6 linked regions of the Cricetulus griseus genome follow. The protein of the gene in region 1 interacts with the protein of each later gene in a pairwise test. Links are inferred from orthologs where the notes say so. Each region holds a gene or a part of one and is shown in the gene's direction. Other genes may lie near its edges. The genes, in order: Tsga10, Cdc73, Cchcr1, Birc2, Mid2 and Znf410.

The links.
Region 2: the proteins of Tsga10 (region 1) and Cdc73 interact in binary tests that used the Homo sapiens proteins (3 or more experiments, as listed by UniProt). The two-hybrid records come from large-scale screens. The link is inferred for Cricetulus griseus from reciprocal best matches to the Homo sapiens genes TSGA10 and CDC73.
Region 3: the proteins of Tsga10 (region 1) and Cchcr1 interact in binary tests that used the Homo sapiens proteins (3 or more experiments, as listed by UniProt). The link is inferred for Cricetulus griseus from reciprocal best matches to the Homo sapiens genes TSGA10 and CCHCR1.
Region 4: the proteins of Tsga10 (region 1) and Birc2 interact in binary tests that used the Homo sapiens proteins (3 or more experiments, as listed by UniProt). The two-hybrid records come from large-scale screens. The link is inferred for Cricetulus griseus from reciprocal best matches to the Homo sapiens genes TSGA10 and BIRC2.
Region 5: the proteins of Tsga10 (region 1) and Mid2 interact in binary tests that used the Homo sapiens proteins (3 or more experiments, as listed by UniProt). The two-hybrid records come from large-scale screens. The link is inferred for Cricetulus griseus from reciprocal best matches to the Homo sapiens genes TSGA10 and MID2.
Region 6: the proteins of Tsga10 (region 1) and Znf410 interact in binary tests that used the Homo sapiens proteins (3 or more experiments, as listed by UniProt). The two-hybrid records come from large-scale screens. The link is inferred for Cricetulus griseus from reciprocal best matches to the Homo sapiens genes TSGA10 and ZNF410.

Annotation. Positions count from the first base shown.
Region 1 is NW_023276807.1:10,438,847-10,442,346, forward strand, and holds part of Tsga10 (testis-specific gene 10 protein), read left to right. Parts: intron 1-540; coding exon 541-651; intron 652-2,914; coding exon 2,915-3,100; intron 3,101-3,500. UniProt on the Homo sapiens protein: Plays a role in spermatogenesis. When overexpressed, prevents nuclear localization of HIF1A.
Region 2 is NC_048598.1:46,750,515-46,754,014, forward strand, and holds part of Cdc73 (parafibromin), read left to right. Parts: intron 1-22; coding exon 23-121; intron 122-2,468; coding exon 2,469-2,547; intron 2,548-3,500.
Region 3 is NW_023276806.1:229,456,841-229,460,824, forward strand, and holds the start of Cchcr1 (coiled-coil alpha-helical rod protein 1), read left to right. Parts: upstream 1-1,184; 5' UTR 1,185-1,199; coding exon 1,200-1,491; intron 1,492-1,497; exon of another isoform or gene 1,498-1,515; intron 1,516-2,042; exon of another isoform or gene 2,043-2,065; coding exon 2,066-2,217; intron 2,218-2,437; exon of another isoform or gene 2,438-2,502; coding exon 2,503-2,569; intron 2,570-2,785; coding exon 2,786-2,987; intron 2,988-3,984. Other genes in the region: Tcf19 (transcription factor 19), read right to left, coding at 127-364. UniProt on the Homo sapiens protein: May be a regulator of keratinocyte proliferation or differentiation.
Region 4 is NC_048597.1:122,214,306-122,217,805, reverse strand, and holds part of Birc2 (baculoviral IAP repeat-containing protein 2), read left to right. Parts: coding exon 1-485; intron 486-572; coding exon 573-672; intron 673-3,500. UniProt on the Homo sapiens protein: Multi-functional protein which regulates not only caspases and apoptosis, but also modulates inflammatory signaling and immunity, mitogenic kinase signaling, and cell proliferation, as well as cell invasion and metastasis.
Region 5 is NC_048604.1:39,570,550-39,574,049, reverse strand, and holds part of Mid2 (probable E3 ubiquitin-protein ligase MID2), read left to right. Parts: coding exon 1-125; intron 126-1,595; coding exon 1,596-1,803; intron 1,804-2,171; coding exon 2,172-2,574; 3' UTR 2,575-3,500. UniProt on the Homo sapiens protein: E3 ubiquitin ligase that plays a role in microtubule stabilization. Mediates the 'Lys-48'-linked polyubiquitination of LRRK2 to drive its localization to microtubules and its proteasomal degradation in neurons.
Region 6 is NC_048598.1:119,449,113-119,452,612, reverse strand, and holds part of Znf410 (zinc finger protein 410), read left to right. Parts: intron 1-735; coding exon 736-954; intron 955-3,017; coding exon 3,018-3,209; intron 3,210-3,500. UniProt on the Homo sapiens protein: Transcription factor that binds to the sequence motif 5'-CATCCCATAATA-3', and is specifically required to silence expression of fetal hemoglobin in adult erythroid cells.

The DNA of each region.
Region 1 (3,500 bases):
ACAGAGAAACCCTGTCTCAAAAAAAAAAAAAAAGTTTACATTTAAACATTTTTTAAAATTTAAACATTGTAAATATAATGTTCTATATTTCAAATACAGAAACTGTCTTTCTTCTCTTTATGGATATTTGAAAATGCCTCAATGTATCTCTATGATAATGTTTCACAGTTTCATTGTAAAAATTTTTGTTTACTGTAAACAATACACAGAAATACCTATTCCTTAGCACAACTGAAGCTTTAACTCTTCACTAACTTGGTAGGCAAAATACTATTCCATTGTCTTAATTAGCAAATCTTTGGTTACTAGTGAAGTTTAATTTAGTGTTACCAACTTATGCTCGCTTATGATGACTTGTCTGTCTGGGTCCTTTGCCTGTTTTCTCTTGGACTTCTGTTTCTTTACCACTTTCACATAAGTTTTATATTGTTGTTATATTAATTTTATATAATCATCTGTTTCAAATATTTAAAATTTAGATGTTTTACACATAGGGATTTTTATTTATTATAGTCAAGTCTAGCTATCTTTTTTCCATAGGCACTGTCCAAAAAATTGAATGATACTCATAATGAACTCAATGATATAAAACAGAAGGTCCAGGATACGAATTTGGAGGTTAACAAGCTGAAGAATATATTAAAGTCAGAGGTACATATACACTTTTTTTCCTTGCTCATGATACCTACAAATTTTCATAAGACTTAGTTTAGTGGTCTATTATGTTCATCAGAATAGTGAATCAAGTCTTTCTTTAATCAAATATTGTAGTTTTGGCTGTGGCAGATTAACTGTATACATTTAGAATCACCTGTCCCAAAGATGACTCAAGAACATGTATGTTTCAGTTTGCTAAATGCAGAGTAAACACCATCAGCAAGTAGATTCTTCTTAAAGAACAAGGGGCATAAAATACTACACTTTTTTTTTTTAAATAAACTGACAAAAGTGGCTCTTCCTGATTGTTTGACAGGGCAGAACAGATCACACTGTTATTAGACCACCTGTTTCTTAAAACCATTTGCGTATTTCTTTTAGGCACTATTTGACTAGTTTTGTGTGTGTGCGTGTGTGTGTGTGTGTGTGTGTGTGTGTGTGTGTGTGTGTGTGTGTGTGTGTGTGAGAGAGAGAGAGAGAGAGAGAGAGAGAGAGAGTGTTCTGAGATTTCTGATTGTAGATGTATGTGTCATCTCTATAATACACAGCTTGTCTCAGGACAATAGAGATGTATTTAGATAAAATGATCGAAAATAGAGTAATAGATCAATATCATAGATGTGATGTTACCTACATCAAAGACTCAAAGTGTGAGTGAAAACTTTACTTCCCTCAGCTGCATATTTTATTTAATATATAATTTAACATCTGTATACAAACATTTTGAACTTTTGTTCATAGCATACATAAATAACATTTAAGTGCTTAGAGAGGTAAAGCATTCTTAGGACTCTTAGGTTGTACCCATCACCTTCAAGAGCTTTGGAACTTCTGGGTCTTGTGAGGCAAGTCCTTTAGTGCACACTTAGTTTAATAGTCAGGGTAAAGATCTTTTACATCTAAGACCACAAGATGGCAATGTTAATTGGATCACAATAGTTTCTTAGTAGTAAGTAATTTTAAATGGGAGAATATACATTTGCTTAGAAAAGGTGGGGTATTAATTTTTTGTAATTTGGTTATTTTATTTAGCTCAGGATTTCTGATAGAGAAATATGGTGTTAACAAAAAGGAGAGTGTTCCCACTATTAGTAAAAATGTAACTGAAGTTTAAAGAACAAGTTAGGCAAACCACAGTACTAAAGCTTTTTTCTTTCTGTGCATGTATGTTCTCTCTCTCTCTCTCTCTCTCTCTCTCTCTCTCTCTCTCTCTCTCTCTCTCTCTGTGTGTGTGTGTGTGTGTGTGTGTGTGTGTGTGTGTGTGTCTGTATGTGAGTGCAGGTTCCTGCAGAAGCTAGAGCTCCTTGGAACTGGAGCTTCTGGGAACCAAACTTGGGTCTTTTACAAGAGCAGAATAAGCACTTAACTGCTGAGCCATCTCTCCAGCCCCAAAGATATGATTTTGAAGTAGCCAGTAATGGCTTTTTAATGTAGCATATTATTTATGGAACTGAATTTTCACTATAGAAAGAAGGTCATACTTAAACTAATTCATTTATGATATCACCTTGAAGATTCTGGTTCCCACAAGTGGTGGATGAAACTCAGAGGTAAAGTAGTTGTCTAGCACATACAAGGTCTTAGGTTCAATCGATAGCACTGCCAGAACAATCTGGTTCTGTATTGTGTGTACAACTTATGCATGTGTATATTACTAACACACATTTAATAGTTTCCTTCTGAGCAGTTTCTGACAGTTTAATAGAAGGAAGCCAAAAAGAGATTATAGTCTATGATCAAGAAAGTTAAGCCTCAAAGTCTCAAGACATGGCTCAATGGGGAAGAGCATTCTTACAGAGGATCCAAGTTCAGTGTCCAGAACCCAGGTCAACTCCAGGGGACTCAAAATCTCTGGTCTCCAAGGGCACCAGTACTCAATGTGCATATGCACTCCCCCCACACCATTAAAATAATAATAAAAAATCTTATCAGAAGTTGAAACTTAAGATATGAAAGAGTACAGAAATTCTGTGCCCACTACAGCTCACTAGAGTGATTGAGAGCAAGGGAACACTGATGAGGTTAGCAGCTCAGAGCAGCAGGAGTCAGTAAATAGTCATGGGGTGGGGTGGGGGAAGCAGCAGGTGAGATCATGGTACTTCTTTATGTTCCTAGTAGGATGACCATCTCTCTAGGCTAGGAGGGTAAGTAGGATTTCTCCAAGGTTATGTTGCAAGGGATTCCCCATGGCCTGGATAACAGTGTTCCATATGCACTTTGTGTCAGGCACTTGTAATACCCAATACTTGCTTTTCAGGAATCTGAGAACCGGCAAATAATGGAACAACTCCGAAAAGCCAACGAAGATGCTGAAAACTGGGAAAATAAAGCCCGCCAAGCAGAGGCAGAAAACAATAACCTCAAATTGGAACTTATCACTGCTGAAGCAGAGGTCAACAGATTAAAAGAAAAAGTTGATGCCCTTAACAGAGAGCTTGAGCAAGTAAGTTTGTAGAAATGTGCTTATGGTATATCCTGTGTCATATTTAAGTGAATTCTCCTTAGCTTTTCATAAGTTTAATATATTGACAGTTTAATTATATAAATGCACTGTAAATTATGGCCTCTTATTCTCCTATCTACCTTGATTCTCTTAGGTACCCACAACCAGAATAAGTATCAGCCTTTTTTTTTTCTTAAATTGGGAATTGTTTCAAACAAAAACAACAAATTTTTGAGAAATAATAAAGCAGATCTATACCTGTCCTACAGATGTAATAACATTAGCATGTTGCCACATTCATTTTATATTATCTTTGTTTAAAGAGACAAAAGATCAGAGGCAGGAGCAATGGCTCATTGGTAAAGAGCTTGCTGATCTTCCATGGGACCTGAGGTCCATT
Region 2 (3,500 bases), on another chromosome or scaffold:
AATTAGAATCTATTTGTTTTAGAATTTTTCCAAGAATATTTTTGCAATTCTTCAATCTGTAAAAGCCAGAGAAGAAGGGCGTGCCCCGGAACAGCGGCCTGCTCCAAATACAGCCCCTGTGGTAAGATTCTTTTCTGATTATGTTGTTGTTTTTAAGAAAGTGACATTCGTTTTGTATTTTAGTGTTTTAATTGACATCTTAAACAATTTACATCAGTAGGGTGTAAAAGTTTTGTTACTTCAGCATACTCAAAGGCTGTAAAAGACCCTTCCCACTTTTAAAAGTTATTTCAGCAATAATTTGGGTCATTCTTGAGATACACCTGGGTGAGAGTCTGAAAAGGGGTTAACTAGGAAAAGCCTTCTAAGTTAGTTAACTTTTAGGTTATCTGTAGCTGGCCTATTTATTACTTGAGAAAATTGTTAATTATTGTTTAAATATAAATCATTGTTACCTTCCAGTTTGGACTTGTTATTTGAAATCTTTTGTGACCATTTCATATTGGTATATTTATTTTCCCTTGTCACCTGCCATATGGCCCATTTATTGTACCCCAGCTTTAACTCCTCTGGTGGTTGAGCGCCTCACTGTTTAAGGTTATTACTTAGGACCCTCCAAACCCTAAATTCATGCATGCCATATAGTCTCCATTTAAATTCATAAATACCCTCTAGTTTGCTGTAAATCTTTCTACCTGTTCTCAAGATTCAAGAAAGGCAAAAAATATAATTCAGATTAATTGTGTTTTATATAGAGTTTGGAAAAACATTGGTAGAGTGCTAAACATAGCCTTGGAAGTTAATATTAATTTTATTTATGCATGAAATCATTGATATTTAATCTTTACAGATACTGAACTATTGGTAATATTTAGATACCTTTAGTTGATGTACCAAAAATAACTAGTATCTGGTTGTTCTGTAATGTTTTGAGCAACTAGAGATAAAATAATACAATGTCATAGTTATCATTTTTAGTAAGTCAGATATTAAACACATTTATAAAATTTCAAGTTTTAGTCTTACTACTTTTTTGGTGGATTTTGGAAAATAATTTTTATTAAATATGTTTACATCGAATTTTGCTTTTCTTATTTTTTTAAGGAGTCAATTCCTACTTTAAAAATTTGTCAGTTTTTATCTTTAGTGTCATAAATTGTAACTTTAGCTTAAAGATTTTTAGAGTCCTCAATAGTTATTGGTAGGAAGAATGTGAAACCTTAAGATATTTAAACCATTGTCTTTGTGAATGTGAGTATTCCTTCTGTGTATTTTATAATCATTGAAAACAGTTGCAATATTTATGTTTGGCATTTGATCATACAGATGTATATATGTAGCTAAATTCTTGATAATTTTTCTTTTGTAATATTAGAGTGTAATCCTATTGTAACAAAATGAAGAATATATAAATATAGTGATTTTCCTAGGTAACTTTAAAATGTTTTTTTAAATAACTATTTTTAGGTTATTATAGACTATAAGTTTAGTATGAAATATTTGAATTAGATTACATAATTAGAAAGTGTCTATTTTCAAATTTTTAAAACTAACATCTATTACTTTAGTCTTATAGTATACATTAATAAGTGTTTATTGAATGCCTGTTACTTTAGTCTTTTTTTTCTTATTCTTTTTTTTTTTTGTTTTTTTGAGACAGGGTTTTTCTGTGTTTCTTTGGAGCCTATCCTGAGACTTCCTCTGTAGACCAGGCTGGCCTCGAACTCAGAGAGATCCACATACATGCCTTTGCCTCCCGAGTGCTGGGATTAAAGGTGTGCACTACTAACACCCTGCTTTCTTTTTGGTTTTTTGAGACAGGGTTACTCTGTGTAGCCCTGACTGTCTTGGAGCTCTCTCTGTTCAGATTATCATTGGAGAGAGTATTATTTCACAAAGTCATTTAAGTAATTAGAACGTATTTGTTTACCATATTATTTCTGCAGTTTTGATACAGGTATACTTGAAATTGTCTTTATTCTTGGTGTAGGGATGGTCAAGTTTTTGTTTGTTTGTTTGTTTTTTGTTTTTCGTGATAGGGTTTCTCTGTGGCTTTGGAGGCTCTCCTGGAACTAGCTCATGTAGACCAGGCTGGTCTCGAACTCAGAGATCCGCCTGCCTCTGCCTCCCAAGTGCTAGGATTAAAGGCGTGCTCCACCAACACCCAGCGGGATGATCAATTTTTAGTAGCAAATAATATTCAATAGTGAATCCTAGTTATCAAATGCCAAGTAATCTTACCTTATTTTGTCTTCTGGCCTATATTGGGAATAACACTTTTTTTTTAAGATTTTATTTATTTATTATGTATACAACATTCTGCTTCCATGTATATCTGCACACACAGAAGAGGGTACCAGATCTCATAATCAGGTTGTGAGCGACCACTCCAGCCCCTGTATCAGGTTTTAAGAATGTTAAATAAGCCCTTTTTTTTTTCCTTTTTTTTTTTTTTTTTTTTTTTTCAGGATCCCACATTGCGTACGAAGCAGCCTATTCCAGCTGCCTACAACAGATATGACCAGGAAAGATTCAAAGGCAAAGAAGGTAAGTTGCTTGTTTCATATCTTCTTCTCATCCTGGTCATGCTGAGTTTGAGTGGAAGTATAGTTTGATATTTAAGAATAAAGGTTGTCAAGTAACCTATGTAGTCCAGATATAGTTCAGTCACCTGCTTCTATAATAAAAGTTTTTGTTGTTGTTGTTTAAACAGCCATATTTACTCATTTATATGTGATCTGTAGCTGTTTAACTCTGACAACTCTTGTTGAGTAGTTTTGAGAGAGGTCATATAGCCTGTAACACTTAAAAATAGTGTTTGGACTCTATAGAACAAAATTGGTTACCCTCTTGTTGGTAGCTTTGCTTCTGGATTCAGATGGCTTGTGTTTCAGTTAATTTTTGTATGGATTTTATTTTTATTTCAACTGTATTCGGTCATTACCTCACATCTCTAATTAAATGTTAATAGCACTGACAACTTGTTGCAGCCCAAAAGTGACTCAGTTTCCATCTGGAGTCTGTTCTGACTTATAAGACATTAGAGTTCAAGCTTGCTTGTTTCAGTCTCCTTGGGAGCTGTGAGAAAGTTCTGATCAAGCCTATGGAAAAGAACAAATTATCTAACTAACAAGCTTCTGATTCCAGCCAAAAGGCATATAGAAATAGGGAATGAAGCTGCTTGTTGCTAGCAGGACTCAAGTGACAGAGAGTGAACCTGGCCTCTCTTTGATTCAAGGACAGTGCAGAGAGCTGGTTAATTGACTATGCTGTTCTTTGTTCTGCTTTGCCTGTAGTCTGTATATAAACAGGATCTAAATTAAACTCTGTTTGGTGTGCTGAAAGACATGGACCGGGCAGTCCTCCCCAATCTATCCTGTGTTTCTGTCTGTTTCTTTTATATTCCTTTACTCAATCCTCACATCCCTACTTAGATTACCCAGCTGACTCGTTGGAGCAGGCTCCAACAATAACTTAATTCATAGGGTTACTTCTGGGAT
Region 3 (3,984 bases), on another chromosome or scaffold:
GGGCAGATCAAACCGGATCCTGCTTGTCTGCTCTACCAGAGATTGACAGGGACTCTGGGAGGCAGGTATGGAGTCCCAGAGGCTCCCCTACTCATGCCATCCTGGGGCTGCCTGCTCACCGCTTACCTTGACTGCTGTGGTCCTCCAGGCTGACCCGCCAGTCGTCCCCTTGGAGCTCAGCGTGCAGCAATGCATGGACCCCAGAGATGAGGCCCGGCTCCTGCTGGGGCCGCAGGGCCACATCACACAGGTCAGCCCTGCAGCCCAACCGATAGGTGCAGCCTGACCTGGACGGGGGGTGGAAGGTGTAGAGATCACCGCCCCTGCCGCCCCCTATGCGCAGCAGCTGGAAGCAGGGCAGCATGGGGGGGTGCTCCCCTCTGCACCGCTTCTCAGCAGTTCATCACCTCTCCTACTCCCAGGCCATGCACCGGGGGCTTCGGTTCAGTTGTCTGACGTCAGCAGCCCCACTGTGGGTAATGCCAACTTGAGAAACACAGATTTCCAAGAGCGCCAGAGGCCTGGACACGCATGCAACCGCTGTAGCTAGCGGCTGTCAAGATGAGACTTCAAAAGCAATTCCGGAGAAGCCCTTTCGCGATGCAAAACCAGGAAGACGTCCTGTGGGACCTCCGTGATGCCGGGTCCTCAGGCCGCAGAATATCCGGGGAGGCTGTAGCAATCTGTTCAAGGCAAAGCTACTTTAAGCGGCAGCTGGGGACACCCCAGCGGGGTGAGGAGGTCCCGCTACACGGACGTGCGTGCGACACGAACGTGTCCCCTCGAGTGTAAGCAGGAGCCGGGAGGGAAGCCTACAGGTCAAACTTCCTAATCCAGGTAGAGCACCCCTTCTGTCCTGCCCCGAGGGAAGGGAATCCGCTGTCACCCACAAAGGGCGGCGCAGACAGGTCCCTAACTCTGCAACAAGGTGGAGCTCACCCTCTCCTCTTGCGCTTGCGGGGTGCCCCGAAGAAGGACTCCACACCCTGTGCCCCTCGCTCCCGCTGCGGTTTGACAGCCAGGAAGCCGCCCTCCGGAGGGCGCGGCTCGGGCGGGCGAGCGGGCGAGCCGGCGGGCGCGCACCGCGCAGACTCCTCCTACGGAATTCCCGGGTCCAGCTTCGCGCCTGCGAGCCCGCGCCCCTCCCCAGGCTGTCTCTGATTGGCCATCTGACTCGCCCTCCTCCGCTGTACTGGACGATGCGCAGGGAGGGGCCGTCCATCTCCCGCCCTCCGCCGTTTCTGATTGGCCTGCAGGTTTCCCGGGTTCCCGGGATGGGGCGGGGCCGCCAGGGCGCGGAGAAGGCCTGGAGGAGTCAGTGTGCCTGCGTGCGCCGTTCTTCTTCCTTCCTCCTTCCGGCAGGCGGGGCGAGTTGGGGCTTTAGAGCATCCCGCCAACCCCACCCGCCGCGCGCATGCGTGCTCAGGGCGGGAAGCCTAGCGGGGAAGCCAGGGGCTAAGGGGCGTGGCAAGAAGGCGGACCTCGCGCTGGGTAAGGAGCGTTCGGCCGGAGTCGGTTGGTTGGGGGCGGAAAGGGGCCTGAGAGGGGGTGCTCAGGAGGGTGGAGGGGGTCCACAGGGCAGGAGGGGTGCAGGAGCCCGGTGAAAGAACAGATGAGGAGGTCGGGGCAGCCTTACAGCTCAGGGTCCTAGTGAGGGGGATGAGCCCGTGGGTGTGTGCAGGAGAGGAGAGGGCAGACCTGAGGACAGCGAGCGACCGGGACCATAACGTCAAGAAAAATGCAGAGTAGGACTAGGAAGAGAAGCGTGTAGGGATCTCGTTGAGTGGAAAACAAACAAACAAACAAAAAATTTGAGTTCGGACGGGAGTTGGACAAAGAAGATGCTGCAGGACTCTGAGCAGCGAAGGGCTTCGGGAATGGAAGCAGAGGGGATAGAGAGAAACTGAGGCCCGCTGCAGGGAGACTCCGATGAGATAACAGGAAGCTGGCTGCCTGGCAACGCGCTCCAGGCTGCTTGCATTCCCTGGGGATCCTAGGGAAGCCGCTTAACCCTACATGAGGCCCCATTCTTCTGGTGCCAGGCCTTGGGCTAACGCTTTTGTAGGAAATGACCCAGAAATCATGGCGCGGTGGTGCCTAGATGGGTTTCCCAACGTCCCTACCATACCATGGCGAGAACTGTGGAGACGGGGTTCACAACAGGCCCGCTCACCTCCAGACCAGAGCTACAGGGATCGTAGACACTTAAGGAGGAAGGTAAAGGCACCACTCACAATCCTGTAGTAGAAGCAAAATCCCCAAGAGCATCCCCTGGCCCCCATCTCGGTACATTTACCCCATGATTGTTGCCTGGTTCCTTTGTCAGGAGCGTGTGTTCGGGACAAGCAAGTCTGCCTTGTTAGGGAAGTAGGGAGAGAGAAGCTCAGAGCTGGGCAGATCTGTCAGTAACTGAAGGATTGTGGCTTTGTTATTATAGGACTTCCTCTTTGGAAGGTGGCCTGAAAACTGAACTGGAGTCTCCTTGTTTCTCCTACTGTCCAGGGGAACCTACACTCTTGCGGACAAGATCGAGAGGCTTCAGATAGAGTGGAGATGTTGTCTCCCTCAGGTCAGTAAGGCCAATCAAGGAGGCTGGGAAGTCTCTCTGTGTCTCTCTGCCTCTGTCTTTCTCCCTCTCTCCCTCCCTCTCCTCTCTTTCTCTCCCTCTCTCTCTCCTTCCCTTCCTCCCTCCCCCTCCCTCCCTCCCTCCCTCCCTCCCTCCCTCCGTCTTCCTCTCTCTCTCTGAGAAACTGACAGTCTTTACTCTTGTGACCCACCCCCTCAGGTTTTGCTGGACTGGTTCCTCCCTCCCACTTCCAAGCTCGGCCGAGAATGGCCCCGACCTGGGCTTCAGACATTCCCCAGTTCCAATCCACATTTGACCAAGATGTCCTAGAGAGGCGGCAGCTGGACTCTCAGAGGCCCACAGTGACCATGAGGGAACAGGATGTCTATGGAGATGGGCAGGGGCCAGGGCAGAGAGGCAGGTAGGGATCTGTCAATCACCTTTTTCTCAGACTTGCTAATGATCCTTTATACACACATTCCTTTATTTCAGCAGCCCTGGGTTCCATAACTTGTGTGGTTTTCTGTAGGCCATTGTTGGTACCTACACTGCATATACCATTATGCCCTGGAGAAAATCAAGAGAGAGGAGAGAGAGAGAGAGAGAGCGCGCGCTCTGGACTTAAATTCCCAATTAACAAGTGTTGCTAGAGTTTCTTTTCCTCCAGGTCCTGCCACCGCTTCAGCCCCAAATAAACACACAGACACTATATTAGTTATAAAACAGTTGGCCAATGGCTAGGGCTTCTTGGTGGCTAGCTCTCTCTTCATCATTAACCCACTTCTATAAATCTATGTATTTCCACGTGGTCTTGGCTTACCAGAAAATGCCCAGACCTGTTACTCCTTTGGCAGCTACATGGCATCTCCTCCCTGCATCTCTCCCAGGGTTCTCCCTGTCTCCCTGCCCCACCTATCTTCCTGCCTCTTTTGGCCAAACAGTGTTTTATTCATCAACCAATAAAAGAAACATATATACTGAAGGGCATCCCCCATCATCTCCTCTTTTCTGTCTAAATAAAAAGAAGGGTTTACTTTTACTTTAACATAGTAAAATTATATATAACAAAAACAGTTATCAAGTAAAAACATATAGTTAACAATAAAGAAGGAGTGTAAATGTCTGAGGGAGGAGATGGATTGCCCAGAAGCCATTGTGAAACGAAGTGACATGCTGGCTCTTAGTTAAAAGGGCCTTTCCCGGCATACACCACTGGAGCTGGCTATGCTCGGCATATGTGGTTTAAGATTTTATTTTTGAGCCGGGCATGGCCTGCCTTTAATCCCAGAGAGGCAGACAAGCAGGCAGATCTGAGTTCAAGGCCACTCCCTCCCTGGTCTACAGAGTGAATTCCCTGACAGCCAGGGCTACATAGAGAGAATCCTGTCTGGGGAAAAAAACAAAACAAAACAAAAAAG
Region 4 (3,500 bases), on another chromosome or scaffold:
GAGAAGTGGGCTTGCACATTCGTTACCTATTCCAGAACGAGCGGGTACTCACTCCAACTTGTCCTCAAATCCTCTCAATTCTAGAGCAGTGGAAGACTTGTCATCAAGGACCAATCCCTGCAGCTATGCCATGATTACTGAAGAGGCCAGATTTCTTACTTACAGTATGTGGCCATTAAGCTTTCTGTCACCAGCTGAGCTGGCCAGAGCCGGCTTCTACTATGTGGGACCTGGAGACAGGGTGGCCTGCTTTGCGTGTGGTGGAAAACTGAGCAACTGGGAACCGAAGGATGACGCTATGTCAGAGCATCGGAGACATTTTCCCAACTGTCCATTTCTGGAAAATTCTTCAGAAACGCAGAGGTTTAGTATATCAAATCTGAGTATGCAGACACATACTGCTCGAATGAGGACGTTTCTGTGCTGGCCGTCCAGTGTTCCTGTTCAGCCTGAGCAGCTTGCAAGTGCTGGATTTTACTATGTGGGTAAGATGTTAACAGAGACTAGAACTTTCTCTTTTTTGTTTATGGGAATATACATGAGTCAGTTTCTCATCTTCTTTTCTTGTTTAGATCGCAATGATGATGTCAAATGCTTTTGTTGTGATGGTGGCTTGAGGTGTTGGGAATCTGGAGATGACCCCTGGGTAGAACATGCCAAATGGTTTCCAAGGTAATTGGTTCTTTGATTGTTTTTGTTGAGACAGGGTCTTTCTGTGTAGCCCTGGCTGTTCTGAAACTAGCTCAGGCTGGCCTGGAACTCAACAGCAATCTGCCTGCCTCTGCCTCCTGAGTGCTGGGATTAAAGGCATGTGCCACCGATGCCCGGCTATCCCTAACCTCTTAATTTTTATTATTGCTTAAAATAAATTTAGGGGCACAGTTGTTAGTGAAATAGAATTAGAAATTGTATATTTGTAACCAATTAACTATGTGAACTTGGACATAATTTCTAAAATAAATGGGCTGTTAGGAGTTTTTATCATGATAAAATATACATAAAAATATACCAATTTAGCCTTCTAAAATGTATTCTTGTGCAGCATAAAGTGCATGTGTACTGTTTTACAGTCATGTTCAGAGCCTTTTCATCTTCTCACTCTGAAACTCTGTATCCCATACACTTGAAAGCATCCCCCCCACCCCTGGCAACCAGCCTTTTACTTGCTATATCTGAATTTTTTACTTTAGGTACCACATGTAAGTGGAATCATACAATGAAGAAAGTTTGGACTTGTGCATGCCTTCCATAATAATGATAAATCTGTTGGACCTCCTTCAGGAAATTACAGGGACCTTTGGTCATTTTTGTGTGATATATGATGAAAAGGAATTTGGAAGTAGAAATGTTTATAGTGGATCAATCCATTGTATATGATGGGGTAGGGAGTGCACCCATGCCCACACGCCTTTAATCTCAGCACTTAGGTGGAAGAGGCATGTAATCTCTGTGAGCAGAGGCCAGACTGGTCTACATAGCAAGTTCAGGTCAGCTCAGGTTGAGGCAGAAGGAGTCTGAGGTCAAGGTTAACTTGGGCTACATTGTGAGCCCCAGACCAACTCAGCTAGTTGGCCAGACCCGATCTGGAAAAAAACAGTAAGCAAAAAAAAAATTCTTATCCAAGGAAAATAAAGCACAATTTGCTAGTGGAGGTCATAGGACAACTCTTCTTTCACCATGTGGGTTCTGTGAATGGAATGCAGGTCGTCAGGCTTGGTGGCAGGCATTTCTGAAGGCACCCAGAGTTTGTTTCAAGGGTTCTCTTAATGCAACAAATTTGACAAGTGATTTCATAATGTTGTAGGTCTTATTGGAGGTTGATCTTTAAGAACATGTTTGAAAAAAAGCAACATTTCTCCATAGTAATGCTAGTATGAATTTAGTCTTCACTGTTGAAAATGTCAGAATTTTAAATGACAACCATACTTGTGGGCTTATATGTTGTAACTTGAAATTTAACTTATATATAAAAGACAAAAACGTTCTAAATTCTAACATTTGAATTGCTATACTTTGTAAAACAAAATTCTTCACCCTGTTTTAAATGCCAAGGGAGAAGACAGGAATGGTTTTTGTCAGTGCAGCTCAGAACAGGTTTCAGCTGTGACTGTTTGCTCTCAGCAAAGACAGACTAACAGATGGTCATTATCACTAGGTTTTAGTATATATAGTTCACTCATTTGTCAGATTCAGGTGTGCTGCGCTCTGAGGGCAGTCAGGACTGCTATACTACATGTCTTTAACCATTCTGCTGATTGGTTTCTGTCATTGACACACTGGTCACCTGGGAAGAGGGACCTCAGCTGAGGATTGCCTCCCTCACATCTTAAAGCAGTCTGCTATGAAAACTGATGATTTCAGCTGCACAGAAACTGCCTCTGTCTTCCCAGCATACCATGGCTTTGGTGTCACTATATCCTTCTAAGTTTATTTATTGTTTATCTTCTTTCTTTCTTTCTTTCTTTCTTTCTTTCTTTCTTTCTTTCTTTCTTTCTTTCTTTTTTTGGTTTTTCGAGACAGGGTTTCTCTGTGTAGCTTTGGAGCCTATCCTGGCACTTGGTCTGGAGACCAGGCTGGCCTCGAACTCACAGAGATCCTCCTGCCTCTGCCTCCTGAGTGCTGGGATTAAAGGCGTGGGCCACCAACGCCTGGCCTATTGTTTATTTTTCATATGATAATTGTAGCTACAGTTATTTCTAATACTGTTTTTATTAGGATAGTTGTCACTATAGTTGTAGCTATAGTTATTTCTAACACTGCCTTTATTTAATAGGACAGTTATAACTACAATTGTAGTTACAGTTGTTTTTAGCACTGTGATGGACTGGGGTAGTACTGAAGGTTGATTCTGGGCTTTGTGCATTGTAGATAGGCACTTTACCTGAGTCCCAGTGTTTGTTTTTTTTTTTACCTTTATGATAGAGTTGAATTATTTACACTCTGCATTACAATGTGGAGAAGTCTGAAGATGATTATGTATTTGTCTTCACCTGTAAATTTTGTACTTTCCTGTGCTCTCAAGAATTGCTCTTTGTATTCTTTCATTATAGCTTGTGTATCTGTCTTGTTCTCTTGAAACTCACCACACTCCCTGAAGATGAATATTACTTGCTTATCTGACAGCAGTTTGTAAACACCTTTCTCTTCCTTCTTTTGAATTGGTTCTTGGAAAATTTTTGTCTCCCTTTGTTGTTAGAGTTTTTGTTTTATTTATTTGTTAGTTACTTGTAATCCTGCTTCTTAGATTTTGTGTTGAGCAAAGACCTTTAACTGTGGGTGGGTGTGAGGGTTTGGGCTTGTCAGGGGTATGGCAGGCCCAGACTCCTTGGGAAGTGCAGTTTCATAGTCTCCATGGAGCTTCTGTTAGCTGAAATCCTTGTTAGTGAAGGTTTTAGAGATTCTCAGTGTCTGGGCAGCATCAAAGCTTATGATCTTTCCTGTCATGGGAAACACCCTGGCCAATGGGACCCCTGTTATACCTGTTCTGGCTTGTGAGTGTT
Region 5 (3,500 bases), on another chromosome or scaffold:
CAACATTAAACAGAACCATTACACAGTGCATGGACTCCAGAGTGGGACACGCTACATCTTTATTGTGAAAGCCATAAATCAAGCGGGCAGCCGGAACAGTGAACCCACCAGGCTAAAAACAAACAGTACGTTTTGGAGATTCTAGAAGGAAAGACCAGCTTTCCTCTCTGTGCCAGGGAGGACAGTTAGCCTGAGAGACTCCCCCATTATAATGTGTGAGAGCAGTGGCTCTGAGTGGAGGAGCTTTACTGTTATGCTTGGTCTATGGGATTTGTTGGTACCCATGGATGTTTGTGGCCTAAGATATATAGAATAGCTTGTGGCCTAGAAAGAAGTTAGGGAAGGGTTTTTCTCTGCCTTCCACCCCTGGGTCCTATGCTTGGGAGAAAAATTCAGTTAAAGAGTTGTTTCTTATGACGATCTACAAAGCTCTACCATAGAGAAGCCCTATCGGTTAGGAATGTTCTCGGTCACAACTGACACAGTTTAACAAGTATTTCCAAGTAGCTTAAGTTACTAGTTGTTTTAGTTAGTTTGTTTGTGTTTAAACATACATAGCAAGAAGTTTGAGGGCAGCCTGATCATGGCTAGTATAGCAGCTCTGAGATCTCATGGAAGGTTGGAGCTCCTTCTTTGTGCATTGGTTTACCCACAAGGTCGAAAGATGGCCAGTGCAACTGCTGATGTCATAGTTCCCTTACTAGGAAGAAGGGAAAAGTTGGTAATCTTTTAATTAGGAAACAGAAGCTTAACTGGAAATTTCTTCCAGTCTCTTTGACTTCAGTGTCCTTCTTATTAGCTGTCCCTAGCAGCAAGGAAGGCTGGAAGACTGAGTGAGAGAGAGAGAAAAAAATAAGTAATGGATACTGTATTAGCACACAGTGTCTGTTACAGAGGCATATTGTGTACTAAATCTCTTGCCCTAACCAGCACCGGGGGCCTGGGACAGTGTTTTTGGCATAGGGTTATGAGTTTCTGCAGCAAAGCACATGTTATCTTTCATCATCGACCATGGAGCAGTCACTGTAACAAAGTCGACTAATGACACGCACTCTCCAATTAGAAAGCCAACATCTCCGGTTGCTGAGCTCTTCTCAGTTTTTCTTTAGTGATCAATGGCCTCATTAACACAAGCTTTTCTACCTCAAACATTGCAACACTCTTTTAAAAAATCTACCCACATCCCCACCCACTCACTGAAATAAACCAAAGTACCAAACATATTTGAGGATGTGAGACTTTGAGTGGTCCCTTTTAGTTTCATAACATATGATGGGAATACTTTACTAGCTCCCATGTGCTTGGACTCTGGCTTCCAGCATAGCACTCATATGAGAGCCCCACATTTTTCACACAGATGGAAAATAATGCCTGAATGAAGGTTATTTTAGGGGAGGAATGACTTGTATTCTGACTTAATTGCAAAGTGTGCCATCTTGCCTGCTTCCTTAATATAATCCAAACTCCAGCTGACCTGCACTTAGCGAAGGATCACCGTCATGTTGAGGATCCTCTGCTAATGATGGTCCCGGAGGGAAAGGCACAGTTCTTAAATCCTTGATCATGCTTTCCCCCTTTCCTCTACTTTTTTTCAGGCCAACCCTTTAAACTAGATCCCAAAATGACTCACAAGAAGTTGAAGATCTCCAATGATGGATTGCAGATGGAGAAGGATGAAAGCTCTCTGAAGAAAAGCCATACCCCAGAGAGATTTAGTGGCACTGGGTGTTATGGGGCAGCAGGAAATATATTCATTGACAGTGGCTGCCACTACTGGGAGGTAGTCATGGGTTCTTCAACATGGTGAGTGGCTATTTTTTTCTTTCCTTGTCCCAGCTTCTCTGCTGTTAGGTTCCTAGGAGATTCAATTCTACCGCACAGCTAAAATACCAATAAGTCAAGGTTAAGAGATATATGATAGGCACCAGTGCTAGAAAACTTGGCCAGCTTTTAAAAGATAAAAATCATGGAAAATATAGTGGGCTAGGAGCTGAAGTGCTGTATCACTCTAATTGCTGGCTTTACAAGATCTGATGATAATTAGCATTATGCCTGTAAATATAAATGTTTTAAGGAAGAAGCACAGTGAGTCACTCGTAGGTCCTAAATAATGTCTAACACAACTCATATCATCCATAAATACTTTTCTGTCTTCTCCTCCACTGTCTCAGGTATGCAATTGGTATCGCCTACAAATCAGCTCCAAAGAATGAGTGGATTGGCAAGAATGCCTCTTCCTGGGTCTTCTCCCGATGCAACAGTAACTTCGTGGTGAGACATAACAACAAGGAAATGCTTGTGGATGTGCCCCCACAGCTGAAGCGTCTAGGTGTCCTCTTGGATTATGACAACAACATGCTGTCTTTCTATGACCCAGCTAACTCGCTCCATCTCCACACTTTTGATGTGACCTTCATTCTTCCAGTTTGTCCAACATTCACAATCTGGAACAAATCCCTCATGATCATGTCTGGCTTGCCTGCCCCAGATTTTATTGATTACCCTGAGCAGCAGGAATGCAACTGCAGGCCTAAAGAATCCCCCTATGTGTCTGGGATGAAAGCTTGCCATTAAATGGCAAGAGAGCATGTAATTCACTGGCTCTCCACTTCAGCATTTCTTCCCCTCTTGAGCCGCCATTAGTGTTCCATATGTGAGATACAAAATACAGTTCATTGGAAGCACCCTAAATAACTAGATATTGTAGATTTAATTTTTTGTGCATTAAAGCTTATGTTTGGATTCATGTATTGAGTTACTCAGAACAAATGATCTGAATAGTCTGGGTTCATGACATTGGGGAAGAATTTTAGAGAATATCTCTGTCATCATTGGGAAATTAAAAATTCCCAGTGGTTTGAGAGTATAAATGAAATTGGAAAGAATTAGCCTTTCTAGCAGTGGCTAGGTGGACCAGATGGAATTTGCACAGTTTCAAATTATCATATTTGTCACTTTTTAATAAACTAACAATCAAGGTGTTATGAGAATATCATACATGTGTATATATAATATATAAAATGACTGAATTCATTTTATGAGCAAAATGGCATAGATCATTTTATCTATTACATATATACGATAAACCTTAATTTGTTCATTTAAGTGAGAGATATATTGAAAAGGAAAATGAATTATACTGTCCATTCTTATCCCCTAGATGAAACATCACAGTAGACTGGTGTTTTTCTCTTCTTACCTTTTAGCCTTTCTTCCCAGACCCCCTCCTGTCACACATAAAAACACATGCAATCAAGACACAGGGAGTGAGAAGAGCTCTTGGTTAGATTAGGAGAGCTCTGTGGACAAGATTGCTTAAGAGATGCTACTGCTACATTGAAAATTGATTCTGGTCTAGTGTGCTGTGTAGCATAATTTCATTGATATTATTTAATAGAGGAGATTTATTTGAATTATTAAAAATTGTCATAGAATATTTCAAAGAAATATAGTTTTGTTACTCTCAAATACATAGTTACTAGACTTACGCTAAAAAATAG
Region 6 (3,500 bases), on another chromosome or scaffold:
AAAATGGTGGTCCTGTCCATTTTTTTATGATAGTATTTGTCATCTGCTTAAAAGACAAAAAGGTGTTACCTGCCCCTTACAAAGATGAGTGAAAGCCTCTGGAAATATTGTATACTTCGTCACACAGTGTAATTCCTGATTATATAGAACCATTATATCTAGTTCCTATCCCCTTTAAATGTTAACTTTCATTTAAAATAGTTTATTTTTAAAAATTAAAAAATGGGGTGTTTTTATTTTTTTTTTATTTTGTTTTTAAGGCAGTCTCATGTAGTGCCCCTCCCCCTTAGTGCAAACCTCCTTTTTAGATTTTTGAGACTGGGTCTCTATGTAGCCCTGGCTGTCATGGAACTTACTCTGTAGACCAGGCTGGCCTTGAACTCACAGAGATCTGTCTCTGCCTCCGGAGTGCTGGGACTAAAGGGATGTGCCACTGTGTCCAGCTTAGAACAAACTTCTTTAGAGCAAGTGTTTTAAACTATTTATGCATATTCATTGTAAACCCCAAACTGTAGTGAAACAGACTAATCTACAAAATGTCGGTGGTTTCCCTTGCTGTTTCCCCCCTGTGATTATTCTAAGGCAGTTTTTGTATTTGCAAAAATGAGAACGCAGTATACTCTTGTAAGGTCCCTGGAAACTAAGTGGAGTTGAGCATCTGTGGTGCTATTTACTGAGAAGGTGCGCTCCCTGGAGGCGAGTGTTACATAAAGCTGTGGTGTTTCCCTTCACTAGATGATACTCCAAACCACACTAACTCCTCCAAGGAGGTCCCTTCTTCAGCTGTTTTGAGGAGCCTTCAGGTGAACGTGGGCCCAGACGGAGAAGAGACAAGGGCTCAGACTGTACAGAAGTCCCCAGAGTTTCTGTCCACTCCAGAGTCGCCTAGCTTGTTGCAAGATCTACAGCCAAGTGATAGCACTTCTTTTATTCTCCTTAACCTAACAAGAGCAGGTATGTTTTCATCTTTTCTGAACTCTATTCATTTTTTAGGGGAAAAAGTTAGAGTCGGTTCAATATTTAATATTCATAACACGCAAAGAATCTTTATGATTTGATTACATTAGAGTTGGTGTGATCTGGTGACCTGTTGAATATATAAAAGAAGTGCAAAGACTCAATGACTCTGCATTTCCTCTTGTTTAACTTTGTGATATGGTGGGTTATAAATTTTGTCAGTTGTAAGAATAGTTTGCTCACTGGGTGGTGGTGGTGCACGCTTTTAGTCCCAGCACTCGGGAGGCAGAGGCAGAGGCAGAGGATCTCTGTGAGTTCGAGACCAGCCTGCTCTACAAGCGCTAGTTCCAGGACAGCCTCCAAAGCCACAGAGAAACCCTGTCTTGAAATACAAAGAATAGTTTGCTTTTCCTATTTTGGCTTTTATCATTCCTGTTCTTCTCTGCAGCCTGAGAATGCTGTCTGCTCTTGTAAGTGTGTTGGGTGTTAGATGCTGTGTATCAAATGGTAAATGCCTTGGATATGGGTGGTTTCTCTGTGAAGCACTGACTGTCTTGAAATTGGGATCCCCCTGCCTATACTGCTGAGTGCAAGGGTAGAGTGTGCCAGTATACCCTGCAACAGAAACTTTTGTTTTTTGGGTTTTTTGTTTTGTTTTGTTTTTTGTTGTTGTTGTTGTTTTTTGGAGACCAAATTTCTCTGTGAAACAGTCCTGGCTGTCCTGGAACTGGAACTTGATTTGTAGATCAGGCTGGCCTGGAACTCACAGAAATCCGCCTGCCTCTGCTTCTGCCTCCAGAGTGCTGGGATTAAAGGCCTATGCCACCACCGCCAGGCCGGAAACCTTGTTTGGAAAACTAATGTGGTGCCCTTGACCAAGACAGTAAGAGCAAGAACAGGTTTGGAGGAGGATGCTTAGTTCCAAATGAGTCTGTTACTGTTTTGATACTGGAGGTACATTGAGGAGGGAGTACCTTTAGAGAGTGAAAAATAGGAATCCAGGGTGGGCGAGGGGTTGGTATAAAGTAGCCAGTTGGGCCACTCATCACATTCAGAAAATGTGAAACATGGATCATGGATTCTTTGATTCTAGAGAGGTTTGAAGCATATGTAGAGAAAAAGGTAAACCTAGGACCCTGGGAAGGGGGACATTTAAGAGGACAACAGAACAACAAGGAGAACTGGGAGAGAATGGTGGGTGGGAAATGATTCCAAATACTACAGGATGAACTAGTGAGATTAAATGTCTGTCAGATGACCTTTGTAAAATTAACAGTTATTGGAAGATAGGCGTGAGAAGAGAATGGGATGTAACTGAATGGGAATACCAGTTAGAAGGCAGAGTTGTTTTAATGCTTAGTACATACCTGTAGCTAAAGCAGGAGGACAAGTTTGAGGCCAGCCTAGGCTAGGTTGCTCAAACAAAACCAACAAGTTGGGCGTGGTGACACACACCTTTAATCCCAGTACTTGGGAAGCAGAGGCAGACCTGTGAGTTCAAGGCCAGCCTCGCCTACCTAGGGCTCTTAACTGCTGAGCCGTGTTTCCTGCCCTACTGAGAGAATTTAACTGAAGTGTTCATGAGAGAATGACTGGGCATGGGATATTTCAAATGGGAGGTGGCTGGGTTGCTGGGATAGAAAAATTTATGCCTGTGAAACAAGAGGAGGCAGAGTTAACAATTAGCATGTGGACTGGATGGAAAAAATGATTATCTTCTTCTTCTTTTTTTTTTTTTTTTTTTTTTTTTTTTTTTTTTTTTTTGGTTTTCAAGACAGGGTTTCTCTGTGGCTTTGGAGGCTGTCCTGGAACTAGCTCTTGTAGACCAGGCTGGTCTTGAACTCACAGAGATCCGCCTGCCTCTGCCTCTCGAGTGCTGGGATCAAAGGCGTGCAACACCACCGCCAGGCAAAAAATGACATCTTAATTATTTATAGGAACAGAAACTTGAAGTGAGATAGAAAGGTCTACAATGATTTGGTTCAGGACATGAAAGTCTCTGGGCCAGGGCTAATGAAAGAACGTTGGCTGACCTCCCTGTATTATTGTCCTTCTTCCAGGTCTGGGCTCTTCAGCTGAGCACTTCGTGTTTGTGCAGGATGAGACAGAGGATTCAGGCAATGACTTCCTCTCTGGTGAGAGCACAGACAGCAGCATTCCATGGTTCCTCCGGGTCCAGGAATTGGCCCATGACAGTTTGATTGCTGCTACTCGTGCACAGCTGGCAAAGAATGCAAAAACCAGCATCAATGGTGAGACTCCTTTGGCATTCTGTACAGAGGTTCGGGTAATTCGATAGCTAATACTCTTTTATTGATGAGAATGGAAGCCTATATTAAGTTGTCCTATTGTATAAAGTAATTTGGCTTTATCTTCCAAACCAATAAACTCATGTTTTAAAATTCCAACTTTTAAGTAATGGGCAGAGCATCTCTTAGAGAACAAGTAGGTCCTGGAGATGGTGGAACCTCAGTCCCAGCATTCATGAGGTTGAAGCAGAATGATTTATATAAACTCATTTATATAGAGCTCAAAGACGTTAA